4 linked regions of the Oryctolagus cuniculus genome follow. The protein of the gene in region 2 purifies or fractionates together with the protein of the main gene of each other region. This does not show direct contact. Links are inferred from orthologs where the notes say so. Each region holds a gene or a part of one and is shown on either strand. Other genes may lie near its edges.

The links.
Region 1: the proteins of SF3A1 (region 2) and ZC3H18 purify together in Homo sapiens (affinity purification with mass spectrometry; 3 studies listed by BioGRID and IntAct, with this or other methods). This does not show direct contact. The link is inferred for Oryctolagus cuniculus from reciprocal best matches to the Homo sapiens genes SF3A1 and ZC3H18.
Region 3: the proteins of SF3A1 (region 2) and SMNDC1 purify together in Homo sapiens (affinity purification with mass spectrometry; 3 studies listed by BioGRID and IntAct, with this or other methods). This does not show direct contact. The link is inferred for Oryctolagus cuniculus from reciprocal best matches to the Homo sapiens genes SF3A1 and SMNDC1.
Region 4: the proteins of SF3A1 (region 2) and dnaJ homolog subfamily C member 8 purify together in Homo sapiens (affinity purification with mass spectrometry; 4 studies listed by BioGRID and IntAct, with this or other methods). This does not show direct contact. The link is inferred for Oryctolagus cuniculus from reciprocal best matches to the Homo sapiens genes SF3A1 and DNAJC8.

What each region holds. Positions count from the first base shown.
Region 1 is NC_091449.1:68,622,406-68,626,406, reverse strand, and holds the start of ZC3H18 (zinc finger CCCH domain-containing protein 18), read right to left. Parts: upstream 2,801-4,001; 5' UTR 2,591-2,800; intron 1-2,590.
Region 2 is NC_091452.1:23,645,297-23,650,051, forward strand, and holds part of SF3A1 (splicing factor 3A subunit 1), read right to left. Parts: intron 4,299-4,755; coding exon 4,181-4,298; intron 3,922-4,180; coding exon 3,736-3,921; intron 3,129-3,735; coding exon 3,007-3,128; intron 2,904-3,006; coding exon 2,658-2,903; intron 1,837-2,657; coding exon 1,629-1,836; intron 1,221-1,628; coding exon 1,066-1,220; intron 150-1,065; coding exon 48-149; intron 1-47. UniProt on the Homo sapiens protein: Component of the 17S U2 SnRNP complex of the spliceosome, a large ribonucleoprotein complex that removes introns from transcribed pre-mRNAs.
Region 3 is NC_091446.1:19,938,295-19,942,381, reverse strand, and holds the start of SMNDC1 (survival of motor neuron-related-splicing factor 30), read right to left. Parts: upstream 2,801-4,087; 5' UTR 2,457-2,800; intron 1,378-2,456; coding exon 1,258-1,377; intron 1-1,257. UniProt on the Homo sapiens protein: Involved in spliceosome assembly.
Region 4 is NC_091439.1:132,307,648-132,310,933, forward strand, and holds dnaJ homolog subfamily C member 8, read right to left. Parts: upstream 2,016-3,286; 5' UTR 2,003-2,015; coding exon 1,241-2,002; 3' UTR 501-1,240; downstream 1-500. UniProt on the Homo sapiens protein: Suppresses polyglutamine (polyQ) aggregation of ATXN3 in neuronal cells.

The sequences.
Region 1 (4,001 bases), on a different chromosome or scaffold from region 2:
CCCTGTACCGGACGGGGAACCCGGGGCCCGCGGCCGTGCACGCTCAGACCTCTCTGGTTGCCTGCTGGGCGCGGCACCCCCCACTCAACGGAAGGAGCTACTGCTCCCATGGGGAATTGAGCCCCTCTCCCCCACTTCTTCTTCTTCTTCTTTTTAAAGATTTGTTTATTGGAAAGGCAGGGTTACAGAGAGAGAGGAGAGGTCTTCCATCCGCTGGGTCACTCCCCAATTGGCCACATCGGCCGGAGCTGCGCCGACCCAAAGCCAGGACCCAGGAGCTTCTTCCAGGTCTCCCACGCGGGTGCAGGGACCCAAGCACTTGGGCCATCTTCCTCCACTGCTTCCCCAGGCACATCAGCAGGGAGCTGGATCGGAGGAGGAGAACTGGAACCAGCGCCCACATGGGACGCGGCACTGCCGGTGGCACTGCAGGCAGCGGCGTTCCCGGGGCTCCGCCGCAGCGCGGCCCCTCCTACGTGTGACCAGCGCTTCGACAGCACAGGAGGACCCAGTTCTAGAGTGGTCTGCGGAGCTCGTTTTCGGAACCCAGCACAGACGTGTGTTTCTTCTGCGCTGACCCATCGGTGTCCCTCGCGCAGCCTCTGACACGCTGCCCACACGCGTGACGCTCGCTCATCTGCAGACTACAGTGACGACCTCACGGACCGTCAACACAGGACATCACTGTCTGGCATTCTAGACTTGTCTCACGTTCAAACATTTGTCAAAGCAACACGAGTCCAATAAAGAAAACCCAGGGAGCCAACCGCACTGAGCCCACAGGAGGCACTGCTTGAGTCACCCCCTAGGGGACGGCCGCTGGGCGCTGACCAAGCGACCCGGGCGCAGACGGCTCTGCCCGACTCCTGCGCGAGCCGTGAACGGACCCAGGCACCTGTCGTCATCCGAGGCAGCCCAGCTCCGCCATGCAGCCCCACGGGGACCTGCCAGAGGGGAGCACCACTCCCCAGACTAACACGTCTTGCCTGGGTACGCAGAGCACTGCTCCCTGACCTGTCCCTGCCCCCGCGCTGCCCCGCGGCTCCTGTGTGCAAAGGCTGCCGCGAGACCCTACCCCACAGGGCGCGGGCAGGGCCAAGGCCCACTTCCGTGTTCCCCGGGCTCACATCCAGACCGGGACACCTGTCAGACAGAAAGGGGCTCTGTGGGCGCTCAGCGCCCTCGACACACGGCCCCCAAGGAGGCCCCGACCGGCTTCCCGGGGAAGAAGCCGTAGGGTCTCCACGGACCCTCCTGGGACTGTGCTGCCCAAGCAGAGGCTCCCGCCAGCCAGCCGCCACCAGCAGCCCACGCCACACCTTGCTGGCGACGGGAGATGGCCGAGTCCCCGGTCCTTGACTCTGGGCATCAGTGTCCTGTTTTGAGACGAACGCGGCTTGGCCGATACCCCAGCGCGCGCCCCACAGCCTGCGAGGTGCAAAGCACCCGGCGGTCTCCCGGCAGGCCCTGCGCGCTCCAGTGCTCTGCTCCAGGGCAGCGAGCCGGCCTCTGCAGACACCCCAGCAGCAGGAAGGGCCGGGAAGTGCCCGCGCGTGGACAGCACCTTCCTCCTCACCCGCGCGCCGGGGCCTGGGGGTCTTCCTCCCTCCAAGTCAGAAGCTGCAGCGCACCCGTCCACAGCCTGGGCGGAGCGAGCCTGCCCTGCTCGGGCGGCCAGCAGTCCCCACCGCACAGGTCCAGCGGGCTCTGGCGACCGAGGACAGCCGGGCCGAGCCCTGAACGGAGCCGCCCATCTGAACCGCTGCCTCGCGTTCTGACCGACGACCCCACGCAGGCACGGGGCCTACAGGACGGGGGCCGGTGTCGGACGCCAGGGCCACCGACACCGGCCTGCTGCCCGGGGCAGGGCCACGGCGCGCCCGTCTGCTCTGGGGAGAACCCACGAAGCCGCCTCTGCAGCGTGGGGCATTTCCCACGGAGACTGTGGGGCGCGAGCGTGCTGGGACGCGCTCAGACGACAAGCGTCAGGGCAGGCTGCGAGCCGCCTCCACCGGGGCTGGGAGGCGGGAATCAGCCAGGTCCCGGCCGAGCTCTGCGAACGCGGACCTCGGCACCGGGAAAGCGACGGATCAGAGTCCCGCACCCCGACGGGACCCCCGCACTTGCGAAGCCAAACTCTCCGTCTGTCCAAACGGGTCCGGAGGCCGACGGCCCTGGAGGAGCCGGCTCCGCGAGTCAGGAATCGGGCTCCCGCCAGGGCACGGCCGCAGGTCGTGAGGGCTGAGGTCCCCCCCAGCGCCAGCGGCCCCGGGGCCCCGAAGCCGCGGGACCGAGTTCCACGGGCTCCGCCGGGCTCCAAGTTCTCCGAGCGCCCACGGGCGAGCCGCGCCGGCCACTCCGGGCGGGCCCGCGCGCTCCTCGCGCCGCGCGCCGCAAGCATGTGCCGCGCGAGTGGCCCGGAAGAGAAATGACAGCTTCGGCGAAACGCACACCGCGGCGCGGCCCGGCCCGCGCCGCCCCGGCACCCACTTCCCGGCCGAGAGCCACGCCGCGGCCGCGGCTGCGCACCGCCGGGCCCCGGGCCTCGCTCCCGCCGCCGCGGCCTGCCCGCCGCCCGCCGGCCGCTTACCTCAGCGCGAGGGCGGGGAGGAGGCCACGGCGCCGCTGGAGTCGGGGCGGCGCGGAGAAGACGCTGCTTGGCCCTTCCGCTTCTCACAGGCTCCGGCTTTCGGGGCGGCGCGGGCGGAACAAACGGGCTCCACTACCCGCGGAGTACGGCCATTGTGCGACGTCATCGGGCCGCGACCGCCGTCCGGCCGGCCGGCGGGCTTCCCTCTCTGGCCCCGCCCCCCGCCGCTTCCTTCCGGCCTCGACGCGGGCGCCTCGGCGCGGCCCCGCGCGGCGCGCTCCCGCCGAGCCTCCCACTGCGCAAGCGCAGCCTGGCGCCCCGCCCCTCCGGGGGCGGACCCGGGCCCGCGCTGTCCGACGGCGCCCGCGAGGGGGCTCCCCGCGCCGCCCGTTCCCGCAGGGGCGCCGGGTGCGGTGCGTGGGTGCGGCTCGAGGCGTGCTGGAGGTTCGTCACGAAGCTTAAAGATCTTTTTTATTTGAAAGGCGGAAGGAGTTCCCGGCCCCCGGCCTCCCGAGCGCGCGCAGCCACCGGGAGCCACGCCTCCCTCCGGGCGTCCCGCAGGGAGGCGGGGGCTTGTGAGGCAAATCGGCTTTTCCCCAGAGGGAGCGGATGGCGGGGCTTGCCCCCGGTCCGAGACTTTCCAGGACTCCCCACGATTATTGAGTTGGCCAGTTTCTGCCAGTTTTTCTGACTCCCTCCGCCACGTCGCCTGCTAGGTTTGCCACGCCCCCATCCGACTGAGCCTATGAGCAGCGGTGTGGGCTTGTGCCTCCACCAATCAGGACGAGGGGGCGTGGCCACCGCGACGACATAAAAGGGATCGGCCTGCGGGCGGCTCCCCGGGGTCCTCGCCGGCCACACTGTGCGGCCGGGGGTCTCTATGAGGCTCGGTCCGGGATCCCCGCCCTCGGGTGCGCGCCGAGCCGCCCCCTCGCTGGGAGACGCGGGTCTGCCCTGCGGCTGCCTCGGATCCGGGTCTTCCCGGGACTGAAATCCCAGCCGCGCGGGCTGGGCCCCGGCCCGGGCCAGGACGCCGTCGTGTGACGCGGCCCCGGGTGGTCGGCACGTCCCGGAGGCGGCTGGAAGGAACGGGCCTGCGCGGCGCCCGAGATGGAGAGGCGCTCGGGCCTCCGGGCCGCCTCGCTGACCACGCCCAGCAGCACGGCGACGAGGGTCCCGACAGAAACGCGAGACGCCCCCGGGAGTCGGCCCGACGACGAGCCGCAGCCGGTGAGGACTGGGTCTGGCAGCTGCCAATCCGGCGTGAGTGACAGGACGCCCTCCCGCTGAAGGCTCCGCTGCTCGGACGGGAAGTGCCACAGCGTTAGGGGTGTCCGGAACCGCCGACCAGAGTGAGGCCAGAAAGTGCTCCCCCTGCTGCGGTCCCCGGGGTGGGTCCTGGGTTGGGTAA
Region 2 (4,755 bases):
CCCTTGGTCCCCATGCACGTGATACCGCTGGTGGCAGCAACCCCTACCTGGTCTGTGAGAGGCAGGGTGAAGACCAGCACCTGCCCATTCAGCTTCCATTCCGTCTTATCCTGCATGTTGGGCACCTGGACTTTGATGGACACTGGACCCTGCAAAACAGAAGGGGATCATTATGCCTGGGGACCCCTGAGCCAATCAGGAACTATGTTCTGCCATCCTGAGGGCACCTGGCTCTGGCCTGATTCTCTACTGACACACTTGTCATATTGTACAAGTCACACTCCCATATCAAGATGTGCTTTCTGTTTTCAAGTCCTCCTGCGAGTCTAGAGCTGAAATGAAGAGGTTGGGTAAAAATGCTCTGTGACACCCAAGAAGCACAAGTGTAAAAAAAAGTGGCCTGTAAAATCCAGACCTGATTCCCAACTCGGCTCATAAGGTCTCAGCCTGCCTGTACAACAGAGCTGATCAGAGCGACAGCAGAGCCCTGCGGTGAGCCCCACACGGAAAAGTGTCCCAAGGTGAGCTCCACCCTTGCACTTCGCTAAGTGCCCAAAACAGGACTCTCTTAAGAACGAAAACAGAAGATTTGGTCAAACGCACTGAGCCGTCAGGGGCTGCGGCTGTTTCTCGCCTCCTCACTGGAGCCCAGCAGCTTCCCTGGGGTGCAGCAGCACCACGGTTCCCACCTTCCTTTACTCTAGCACCCCAGCAAGGGCGAGGACTGCAGGAAAGGCCACACTGAGTTCATGAACCACACCCGGGCTTGCTTCAGGTGTCCAGGGCCCTCTCACCGAGCTGTGCCCCTGTGCAGTGGCTCTCCCTATGGCCTCCAGAGATGCCACACCAGGGGACCACCAACACTGTCACACTCAGCTCCTCTAGGTGTTAACCCACATTTACTGGGCGTCCCATCAGTCAAAAGCTTCCAGTGGCTAACCCAGACCCTGGAGGCCACCACCACGGGAGTGGAATGAGGTCAGCCGGGCACCATGTGACTAGGGTGAGACTGCAGCCCCTCCCCTAGACACCCCAGGCCACAGGTAGCACCCAGGGGTCACATACCTTGTTCCTGCGCAGGAACTCCTCCTCGGACATGAGACTGTCCTCTGTCTTGAGTTTCTTGGAGGCAGGCTCATCCTCCATGGGAGGTGGAGGGTGAACAGGGGGCATTGGGGCTGGAGCTGGGACAGGGGCCACAGGTGGCGCAGGCACAAAGGCTGCAAGGACAGGAACAGACAGACCCGTGAGTGGGGGCAAGGGGCCCAGACTCAGGGCTAGTGAGGATGTGAGGTCTTTTGGCCTATCAGGTGTGAGGTGCCACTCTCCACTGAGTCTGGCAGCCAGCAGGTTCCCTGGCAGAGGGCCCAGGGAGGCTGCCCAGACTGTGCAGCGAGGCACTGGAGGAAGGGCAGGACCGATGGATGGAGCAGGCGCCTGCCTGGGGCCTGACCCAGGTGCACAGGCACAATTCAGTCTATCTCCCCCAGGAGCTGCGGCCCCTACTGCTCCACTGGGCCGCACACCCAGCTGAAGAGCTGGCACTACTCCCAGCAGCCACTGCTCTGCAGACAATGCTTGGCCTGCAGCCCAACCCGATGGCCACGAGAGCGACACAACACACTGACCTGTTGGCACGATCATGGGTGGTGGCCGGGGTGCCATGATAGGAGGTGCTGAGGGAGGCATGGGCACCACATTGATCCTGGGTGCGTGGATGATGGGTGGCATGGGCGCAATCACCGAGCCCGGGGGCAGCCGGACCACGGATGCCATCGGGGGCCGGGGCATGACAGGTACCGCAGACACAACTGTAGTACGGACGGGAGGTGGCATCTGCAAGAAGGAAGAGACCCAGAGGTCACAGGAAGCCAAGATTGGGCCCCAAGGGCACGTGCAGCTGGCAGTGAGCCACCTGGAGCTCTGAGAATGGGCGCTGGACAGCTCCGATTCTGCCCCGCGTGGCCCAGAGACTGCAGTCTCACACTGGGCATCTGAGAGAAACTCTGCAACGACAGAACCAGGGCCACTTTCTCCACACGGGACTCAGACGATTGGAGTCCATCACTGACCCTGACTCAGCCTCCTGGAGGCCAGCAGGCCTGAGACGCAGGAAGCCCTGAGGCCCGTCCACCTCAGATCTGCTCCTCACCTGCCACTTGCTCCCTGCCCGTTCCAATCCTCCCCTGTGGATGGAAGACTGGCTTCGAGGTGCTCCATTTAAAGGGTTCTTTTTAACTTGACTCACGAGCACTCAGAATTGCTGTTAAAGAGCAGCCACGCTCAGTCAGCAGAATTCAACCCCGGGGACTGAACTCTTTAGTCAATTACAGGGGCCGGCACTGTGGCATAGCAGGTAAAGCCACCGCCTGCGGTGCCGGCATCCCATGTGGGCGCTGGTTTGAGTCCTTGCGCTCCACTTCCCATCCAGCTCTCTGCTGTGGCCTGGGAAGGCAGTAGAAGATAACCCAAGTCCTTGGGCCCCTGCACCCACGTGGGAGATCTGGAAGAAGCTCCTGGCTCCTGATCGGTGCATTCTGGCCGTTGCAGCCAACTGGGGAGTGAACCAGAGGATGAAGACCTCTCTCTCTCTCTGCCTTTCAAATAAATAAATTAAATAAATCCTAAAGTGAGTCACAGGCTGGCTGCTGGCTTACCGCGGGTGGGCGAGGCACTGAAGTGATGGGTGGGGCTGAGCTGGGGATGTTTGTGGCTGAAGACGGAGGTGGCGGCTGCTGGGGGATTTCATTGGGCTTGCTGGGGCCAATCTTCTCTTTGGTGTCGTCCTCTGGCACCAGGCCCTTGGCCTTGTGGATGGCCTCAATCTGCTCCTGGAGGGTGATGTTGGCCTGCGCGGCCTGCTGAGTGCGGGCCATGCTGCCCGAGTGGCCATCCCAGGTCACCTGCCAGGGAGAGCAACGCCAGAGATTGTCAGGACTCCTGGGACTTAAGCCCGGACGGGGCAGGCCAGGGCAGGGAGGGCACCAGGATCCCCTGCAGCCGCACCTTCTCCTCCGGCTTCTGGATCTCCTCCTCGCCGATCTTCTTCCCGATGGCCGTTTCCTCAACACCGAAGATGTCAGTTCGCCGCTCAGCCAGCTGCTTCAAGCTGCTCTCAATATCCAGACCTGCACGCAGTCACACATGGGGGCAGGCAGCAGGGATGAGAACTAAACTCAGTGCCTGCTGACAAGGCAGCAACTTGCCTCGTGCGCAGGGCAGAGGCGGCAGACTCTGGGCCCCAGCACAGCACTCCCATGCGCTGGGGAAGGCTGTCCAGTCGGCCCTACGCCTCAACACCCAGCGCCAGCGCCTGTCCGATCCCTGGCTCACACGGGAAGGTGGGCCAGAGAAAGCAGCTGTGAGGACAGGATGCCAAGACGACTGAGCAGCAGTCAGGACGAAAAGCCTGGTCCCTTGCTGGCACAACACCCTCCCTACGGTGCTGCAGGCGCCAGCCCACCAGGTTTCACCCCAAGGAGCTCGGTGTCCCAGCCATCAGCGTCCTCATGCTAGGGCAGCATGGGAAGGGAGCACCCCTCCTAGCCGTAAGGGGCCCATCATCTATACCAGCGCCTGCCTCTGGAACATTCCGAGAGAGAGCTCCTGTGTAACACAGAAGGCTTCATCCACCCTCAAAAGCTGCTGGTAGCCGTAATCACTGCTTCCTGTTTGCTTAAAGCAACGCAACTGCGACCCGCAGACTGCCACGGGCTGGGCAGGGCCCCAGCTCACCTGGCGCATACACCTCATCGTCGCTCTGCTTCTCGCGGATGGAGCGGTCCCGCTGCTCCAGCCAACGGGGGTCAAGGAGCCCGATGCGCATGTGTTCCTGCATCTTGCTGGCAGGGATCTTCTCCCCCGTGATGGGAGACACGAGATACTCATCCGGGGCAGGGGCCGGAGGCAGGGGCTTGGAAGCTAAAAGGAAAAGACTTCTGAGAACACCGCAGGGGTGTGTGTGTGTGTGTGTGTGTGTGGCCTGGTGAAGAGGTGGCATTTCATTCATGCATCATTCAAGTGAGACACATCCACTCAGTGCCACCCTCGAGCCTGGCACCAGGGCACCAAAAGTGATGAGGCCTGTTCTAGAGAAGGCGATCAGTGCTTGTACAAGGCTGCCTTGAGACCTCCCGGTCTATGGAATGAGCAGGGCACACAGGTCTGGGAGCAGCCATACCTTTGGGATCATAGTCTTTGCGGACGATGACTTGGTCTGGAGTTGGGGGCAGAGGTGGAGGCATGGGCGTCTCTGGAGGTGGGGGCACTTTTTGCCCTTCTTCTTCATCATCTGAACCCTGAAATGCAAAGCCATGGTAGGTCTCAGAGAGGGCACAGAGCCACCTCCCTGTGGCTAAGCCCCGGAAGCCGAGGATAGCAAAGAGTCTTGGCCCCCGCCAGGCCATGTCCACGTGCTAAGCCTCGCAGGGCAGCCGAGGCCAGCCGGCAGCAGGCCAAGCTGCTTCCTCACAGCATGAATGGGAGCGCTGGGGGCCATGCGCTAACACTCCTCCCAGGCACTTCCAGCAGTTGGCACCAGGCAGTCCCAAGAGGCCAAGGGCACTTAACACACTGGGGAGGGGTGTCGGGCGTGAGTCAGTACTCAATGCAGCCGCTCACAGGGCAATGCTGGGAGGGAGCGAAAAAGTCAATTCCCACAGACACAGGGGCCCTTTCTTCTCGGGCTGCACACAAATTCTTTTTGGAGGGGGGAGAGCAGGGTAGCTCTGGAGACTATGCTGCTCGGAAGGCCTG
Region 3 (4,087 bases), on a different chromosome or scaffold from region 2:
AAGAAATTGTTCCTCAAAAAAATCTTTTTCTTATTGCCTGGCACCATGATATTCACAGACCTAGCTTTAATATTCTGAAGAGGGTCCTGCTCATGTTAAAATTATCCCGGTATTTTCTGTTTTTAAAAATAACATGATTCCAACTTCATCCCAAATCTAGAATTTGAACTTGAAAATATTCAACTCACCTTAATTATGCTCAGATAAGCTATTTCAGAATCCCAAATCTGGACCCCTTTTCAGATAAGTTTAATTTGTTTCCAGTCCTAATATTCCTAAAATATTAATACCTTTAATAGACAATGGGTTGATAAAGAGAGGAAAAGGATTCTTTAGATAGAATACAGATTCAAGTTTTGTACTGAATCAGTAAAGTGAGTTATCTAATTACAACACCCTTGGAACTTTTTAAAACTCAGGTTTAGAATTTTAAGGAAGGCTGTAAAACACAATAGTTGTACAGTACAGTATTGACAGATTATCTATGATATTTTTCTTAACTTATTATATGGAGAATCAGATGCAATCATGGTTTTGTGTCTGTCTTGAGATCCTAGTGCCAGTATAAATCTACTGAACTGTCCTGCAACAAATAAAGATCGCCTTCCACATCAGCTTCAACAAGTTATCAACAACTACACAGAGAACACTGGTCTCAGGCATTTTAATATGTAAATAAAGGTGTACATCGCCTTGAAAAAAAAAAAGCATACATTTCATTTTCAAATAATCTTGTGTCATTACAGAGACTCTTATGATTTTATTCTTTAATATTAGTTACCTTTTGAACTATGTCGTTAGCAGGTATGAAAAATAAAAGCTCTTCCCTTGTAAAGTTATAGAAGAGGTATTTAAGAAGCTCATAAAAATGCTATTAGGAAAAATTATGCATGTATTTAAAACATTTTTGCACCAAAGTAAGCATCTTTTAATTCCATTTTCTATGAACTTTCTGAAATACTCTTGTATGTACTTCTCTGAAAAGTTTGAAAGATATTTTCAAAATCAACTCTTATTTTTAAAAATTAAAGGAGCACAAGATTTATATAACAAAGAACACTCCACTAGTTTGATGCCTATAAACTGAGAAAGTAACCCTATTCCTAGAAGTCATGGTGTCCGTGCACATATACGTGTGGGTATCCCCCTCTGAAGGGTATGTCGCGTTACCTATGGTTTCTAAGCAACGAATCACGTGAAAAACACAGAAATATGCTTTTCAAGCAATGCTAACTACAACTGGCCACCCATACTTACTTGTAAATCTTTCTTCAGTTTTAGCAAATCTTCATTTTCTCCATTTCCAGACAATGCAGCTTCCACTTGCTGGAGTTGAGCTTTGTAGCTTGCCAGCTGCTTTGCTAGATCCTCGGACATCTGAGGGGAAATATAAAAGGGTCACACTATAAAAATTAAACCAAAACTCCAACCATAAGGAAGAATTTCTCTACCTCCCTGAATTAACCAGTTTTGCTTCTAACTCCTTATTAATGCTGCACCTTCATTTACCACCATTACGTAGTCTTGGTCGAAACAACCTAAAGTACAAGGATCAAGGCGATAGATTCTGAAAACTACAACCGTGGGAGATGAATTCCATATAAAAAAAAAAAAAGCAGAAAAAGCAATAAAGAGGGAAAGGGACATTCCAATTTTCTTTAAACTCTGAAAGGCACTCTTCTGGGTTCAATGGTAAGGTTGTTACACCTTTAAAACGCATGAATCTGTGGGAAAAATCCATAAACTGTCAGAAAAAAGTTTCTGGGCATGAAAGAATGCTTCCAAGGCCACGTGAAAAGGGTTCTGAGTTACACAACTCACTCCCTCTCCGCGAACTATTCCACAGAGCGCCTTACCAAATTCTTTCCCCGAACTCTTTCACCCACTTAAGTACGTGTCTATGCACTTCTTCAGTAACAGAAAACAGCTCAAACACGGTTTATTTACGTACTGTAAGGAACGCGCCTTCCGCCAAACACAGCTCGTTCTCCCCCGAAAGACGCGAACTCACCTTTCCTCGAAGATTTCTAAGCAAACATTCAGGGTGTCCAAGAGCCCTGCACTTTCTCAAAACTCCCGTCCAAGCAAGCCCGGGACCCGGAAAGACCCCACAGGCTTGTTGAAGCAAGCCAGGCGGCTCTCCCCCCAGGAGCCAGCACCCCGAAACCCCCCCAAGCTCGGCCGATCGTGTCACCTCTCAAAATTCCAACAACAAATCAGCCGCCAAGGAAACCGCCAGAGGCTCTGGGCGCCGTCGGCGTCCCAGTCGCACCCAGGCCCCACGCCGGCCGGGGCGGCTCGAGGCTCCACTCGGCGTCGGAGGCAGTGGCTCTGAACACGCTCGCCGGCGCCCAGACCTCCGCGGCGAAGCCAGCTCCTCGGCCTCGGGCCTCCGCTTCCACTCGGGAGAGGCCGAGGCCCGGCGCGGCCTAACCCTCCCGAACGGGGTTTGTTACCTTGTGTGGGGTGGGGACGGGGCGGCGGGAAGGGAAGGGGGCAAATGAGCCCAGTGATGGCGGCGACGGCGACAGGAGCAGCAGCAGTAGGAAATATCTCCGCGACGACAACAAGGCCACTCGGTGTGAAAAGGAAGAACTCAGTCCGCAGAGAGGGGGAGGGGAGGAAAGCCGGGAGCTGGAAAGAGGAAAAGACAGAGAGGCAAATGAAGTCTCGCGAGACTTAGAAACCCTCGCGAGAGGTTCCTCTACCCACGTGACTCCTCGCGCCCTCTAAGCGGTCCGCTTTATTCGCGTTAGCGTCGCCTGGTAGGCGGAGCCAAATGCAACGGAAGTGGCGTAACTGAGGTGCGCCCGGCGCAGAATATACGTTAGTCTTACCTAAGTTCCGGCTGAAGCGTAGAGTATTTGGTGTGGGGCGCGGTTGGCGCTGTTGTGAGGTTTTTACTGAGGTTCCCGGAATAGTAATCTCGTGTGTCTCCTGGGCCCGTGGTGGTGGGAGGTACGCTGCAGCCTTTACGCTGCTAATTGGCTCTCAAAGCGCGGGTCCCGAACTCGCCTCATCTACTCCTCTTGGCGTTAGAAACGCAGATTCGCCGCCCCGGGTGGCCGGAGGCTAGAAGCTGTGGGTGGGTGCAGCAGTCTGTGTTAACAAGCCCGTTAGGTGACCCAGCGTCCACTCAAGTTGAAACCACCGCTGTGTACAATACAAAAGCGAAAAACGTCTCAGTGGCAACTGAAAGCTGTTTAAATTGTGGCGGAACCTATGAGAGAAGAGGTTGGTTTATTTCGTAGCCCTATTTGTTTTTCTTTTTTTGAGATTTATTTATATTTGAAAGGCAGAGTTACAGAGAGGAAGAGGCAAAGAAGATCGATCCATCCGCTGGTTCACTCCAGATGGCCACAGCGGCCAGAGCTGGCCCACTCGGAAACCAGAATCCAGGAGCTTCCTCCAGGTCTCCCACACTGGACTGCGTTTCCCGGCCATAGCTGCATCAGAGGTGGAGCAGCCGGGACTCAGGCCCGCCCCCACACGGGATGCTGGCACTGCAGGGGGCGCTTTACCCGCTACGCCACAGCGCCAGCCGCCCTTTTGGCTTTAAATAATTAGTTTAATCTCCCCTCGGGAACAGTCTCAAGTTGTAATCACAGATGATAAGTAGAGTGATAGGAACATTTCTTTTTATTTTTAGGGGAAGTGGGGAGGGGAGAGAAGAGGGGCAAAGAAAGAGGGCAAGAGAAAGATGAAGGAAGAAGAGGAAAAGAGAGGGGAATGGGGAGAAACTGCATTTATGCTTAAAAAAGAAACTCATAGGTGCTGGCTTGTGGCCCCCTGGTTAAGCCTCTGCCTGCAGTGCCAACATCCCATTTGGGCTCCACGTTGAGTTCTGGCTGCTCTACTTCCAATCCAGCTCCCTGCTAATGGGTCTGGGAAAGTAGCAGAAAATGGCCCAAGTGCTTGGACCCCTGGACCCACAAGGGAGACCTGGATGGAGTTCCAGGAACCTGACTCAGCTTTGGCTGTTGTGGCCATCTGGGGAGTGAACCAAAGAATGAAGGATCTCCGTCTTTCTCCCTTCACTGTAACTCTACCTTTCAAATAAATAACAAAAGAAATGGGTGTGTGTATG
Region 4 (3,286 bases), on a different chromosome or scaffold from region 2:
CAGGCACTGGTCTCATTTGAGGAGAGGAGCTCAGCTGAGTCTATGCCAACAGACAAAAAGAAATATCCACTCTTGTCGCTCCCCGTCTTTGTGGAGGAATGACACAGGACCCTGCGCTGTTCTTTTGTCTGCTCGGCCCTCCCCGGGTTTGCTGCTGGTTCTTCCCGGGTTGGCTACCGTCCCTTCCACCTCCGTGGAAGGGCGGTTCCCCCTGCCACTTTCCCCACTTCCGCGGGGGAGCGGCACACCGCTGGCCGGCTCTCTTGGGGGCTGCACAGGTGTTCCTTCAGATAGATGTTCCTGGTGCATGTTGTCTCTCTCCTCCTTTATAGTCCTCTTCCACCAATCCCAACTCTGCTACCCACACGCCGAGTACGCTGCTCCCCTCCAATCAGGAGCAGGTCCTGCTGTTTATTGGTTGAACTGGAGGCAGCTGTGTAGAAGCTGTTTCCTCCTCTCCCAGCGCCATATTGTGGGAGAGCAGATGCATAAAATAAGTCTTTCTTTCTTTTTTTTTTTTTAACGATCTCAGTAGAAAACTATTATACATAAAGATTCTTACCACTAACGAATGCAGACAGGCTAGGAGACGATGGAACTGGATGGAGGCTGGCTAGCTCTTTGGAAAGTGAACAGGTTTAGGTGGCTTAGTGTCATGCTGCACTGATTGGTCGGGCAGACGGGAGGACAGGTGCCAAACACCAGGCGGGGGTAGGGGGCATCAGGGCATGAGTGTAACTGCTCTCTCTGCCCACTCTGCCTTCCTGTGACCTGGGCTTCGGAGGATGGCACACCCAGAAGCAAGCGACTGAAGCAAGGGGGCTTCCTGTGGTGGCCCAGGCTCGTCTCTGAAGTCACGGCGACACCACTGTAAGCAAGATGTTTAATGGGATGATCTCCACAAACTACACACAGGTTTCTAACCATCACATCCATCACACGCAGTGAAGTACAAAACATTAAGTTACAGGCTGTGGGGGAGAAGGTAGCACCCAGGGTGGCACCTTCCAGTCCTGGTTGTTCTAGGGTGGGGGTGGGAGAGAAGGTCTTTGTTTAAACTGAGCCCCTCATTTCAATGTACAAAAGAATTACTCTGATCGATATTAAATTGTATTGAAAACAAAATGAACTAAAAAGCAAATACTACTCTATGTTGGGGTGGAAGTGGAGGAAAGAATGAGTCCTTCAAAGCAGGGAGGGAGACGGCTGGGGGAAGGTTCCGTGCTGTGACCCCGGGCGGTCACTCACGCTGCTCCATTTTTACTTTCGGTGGTCTCAGGAAGGTCCAGTTCTTCTTCTCTTTCTTCCCCTTTGTATTTGCTTGGAAGTTCCGCCAGCTGTCCACGCGCCCATCTCGACTTTCCTCGAAGTTTTTCTGCCACTCCCGCTTGCGTTTGGCTTTTTCTTGAGCTTCAATCTCTTCTTCCTGCTGTCGTTTCCTTTCATGCATCTCTTTGGCTTCTCTTTCTTTCCTTTTAATTTCCAGCTCAGCAAAGAGTTTCATGGTCTGTTTATATACTGCTTGTTTGAACAGCTCAGGATCATCCTCCTCTACATTTGTAGGTTTTCCTTCCTTCTTTAACTGTTTTTTTCGTTCTTTCACAGTGTGTTCCACGTATTCTTTTCCTGCCTGAATTACATCCAGGGTCCTCTTCTTTTGCTCCTGATCCAGTAGCAACTTGTAAGCTTTGTCCACAGCTTCAGAAGCCTTTTGTGCTCTGTCAGCATCATCTTGATTTTTGTCAGGATGCACCAATATGGATAACTGCCGAAATCTCTTTTTTATTTCTTCATCTGTCACTTCAGGATCTATCTGAAGAACCTCAAATGGATTCAAATTGAAGTAAGAGGAACCAGGACGTGTCAACCTTTCAATCTGATTTTTGGACGTAAGAACTGAATCTCTCTTCTCTGTTTGTTTCACCTCACTGTAGAAGGTCATAAAAGCTTCCTCTGTGCTGCCTCCACCGGCCGAAACCCCACTCTCTCCTGAAGCCGCCATTTCCCCGGCCCCAAAATAAGTCTTAATTCCAGTAACTTAGTCTAGTCCGAGTTGCTCCCAGTTGCTCCCCACACACTCTGATAAAAAAAAAGAGGAGATTTACCATGCTAAACCTGGGTGTGTCATATCAGGTACGCCGTTCACCAGGGAGCAATGAACAGAGCTTCTTGGCCACACCCAGCATATGCTTCTAGGTATTCCCTGAAAGCAGACAGTCCACTAATCCACACAGACATAGTCCAAAGATAAAAGCCAACACAGTGAAAAAACAAAGGAGCCAAGGTGTATCTCCACAAATGCCAAATAACAAACACACCAATTCAAGAAATAAGAATAATGAAGACAACATGATACCCCCAAAAGAACACAACAGTAAAGTACTAGATTGTGAAGATGATGAAATTGAAGAAATGCCAGAAATGAAATTCAAAAAATTGTTCATAGGATTACTTAGAAGTAAGCAGAAGCAAATGCATGAGCTAATGAAATTCATACATGACAGGAAAGATAATTTCTGCCATGAAATTGAGATCTTAAAGAGAAATCAAAATGAAATCTTGGAAATGAAGAATTCAGTGTAACAAATAAAAAATGCAGTGGGAAGCCTTAACAACAGAATCGGTGAAGCAGAAGAAAGAATATCTGACATAGAAGACAAAGCACAGGATATTATACAGTCAGGCTAAACACAAGAAGAAATTAGAAAACAAACAAAAAAACACTGTTGGGATTCTACAGGGTACTATCAAATGGCCCACCATAAAATTTCTAGGAGTTCTGAAGTTGTGGAAAGAGAGAAAGGGTTAGAAGCCCTTTTTAGTGCCTAATTTGGAGAAAGAAAGGGACATCCAAGTATAGGAAGCACATAAAAATCCTGATAGACATGACCAGAAAATATCTTCACCACGACACATTGTAATAAAACTCACCACAGTTAAAACGTGAAGAAAAGATTCTAAAATGTACATGAGAAAAATGCCAGATTACTGTCAGAGGATCTCCAATTAGACTCATAGCAGACTTCTCATCAGAAACCTTACAGACTAGGAGAGAATGATGAGATATATTCCAAGTCTTAAGACCAGAATACTATGCCTTTCATAGCTCTCATTTATAAATGAAGGTGAAATACAGACTTTCCAAGACAAATAGAAATTAAAAGAACTTGTTACCACCTGTCCAGCCCTGAAGAAGATGCTTAAGGATGTGTTGCACACAGAAACATAGAAACATGGTCATCATCTTATAGCCGGCGCCGTGGCTCAATAGGCTAATCCTCCACCT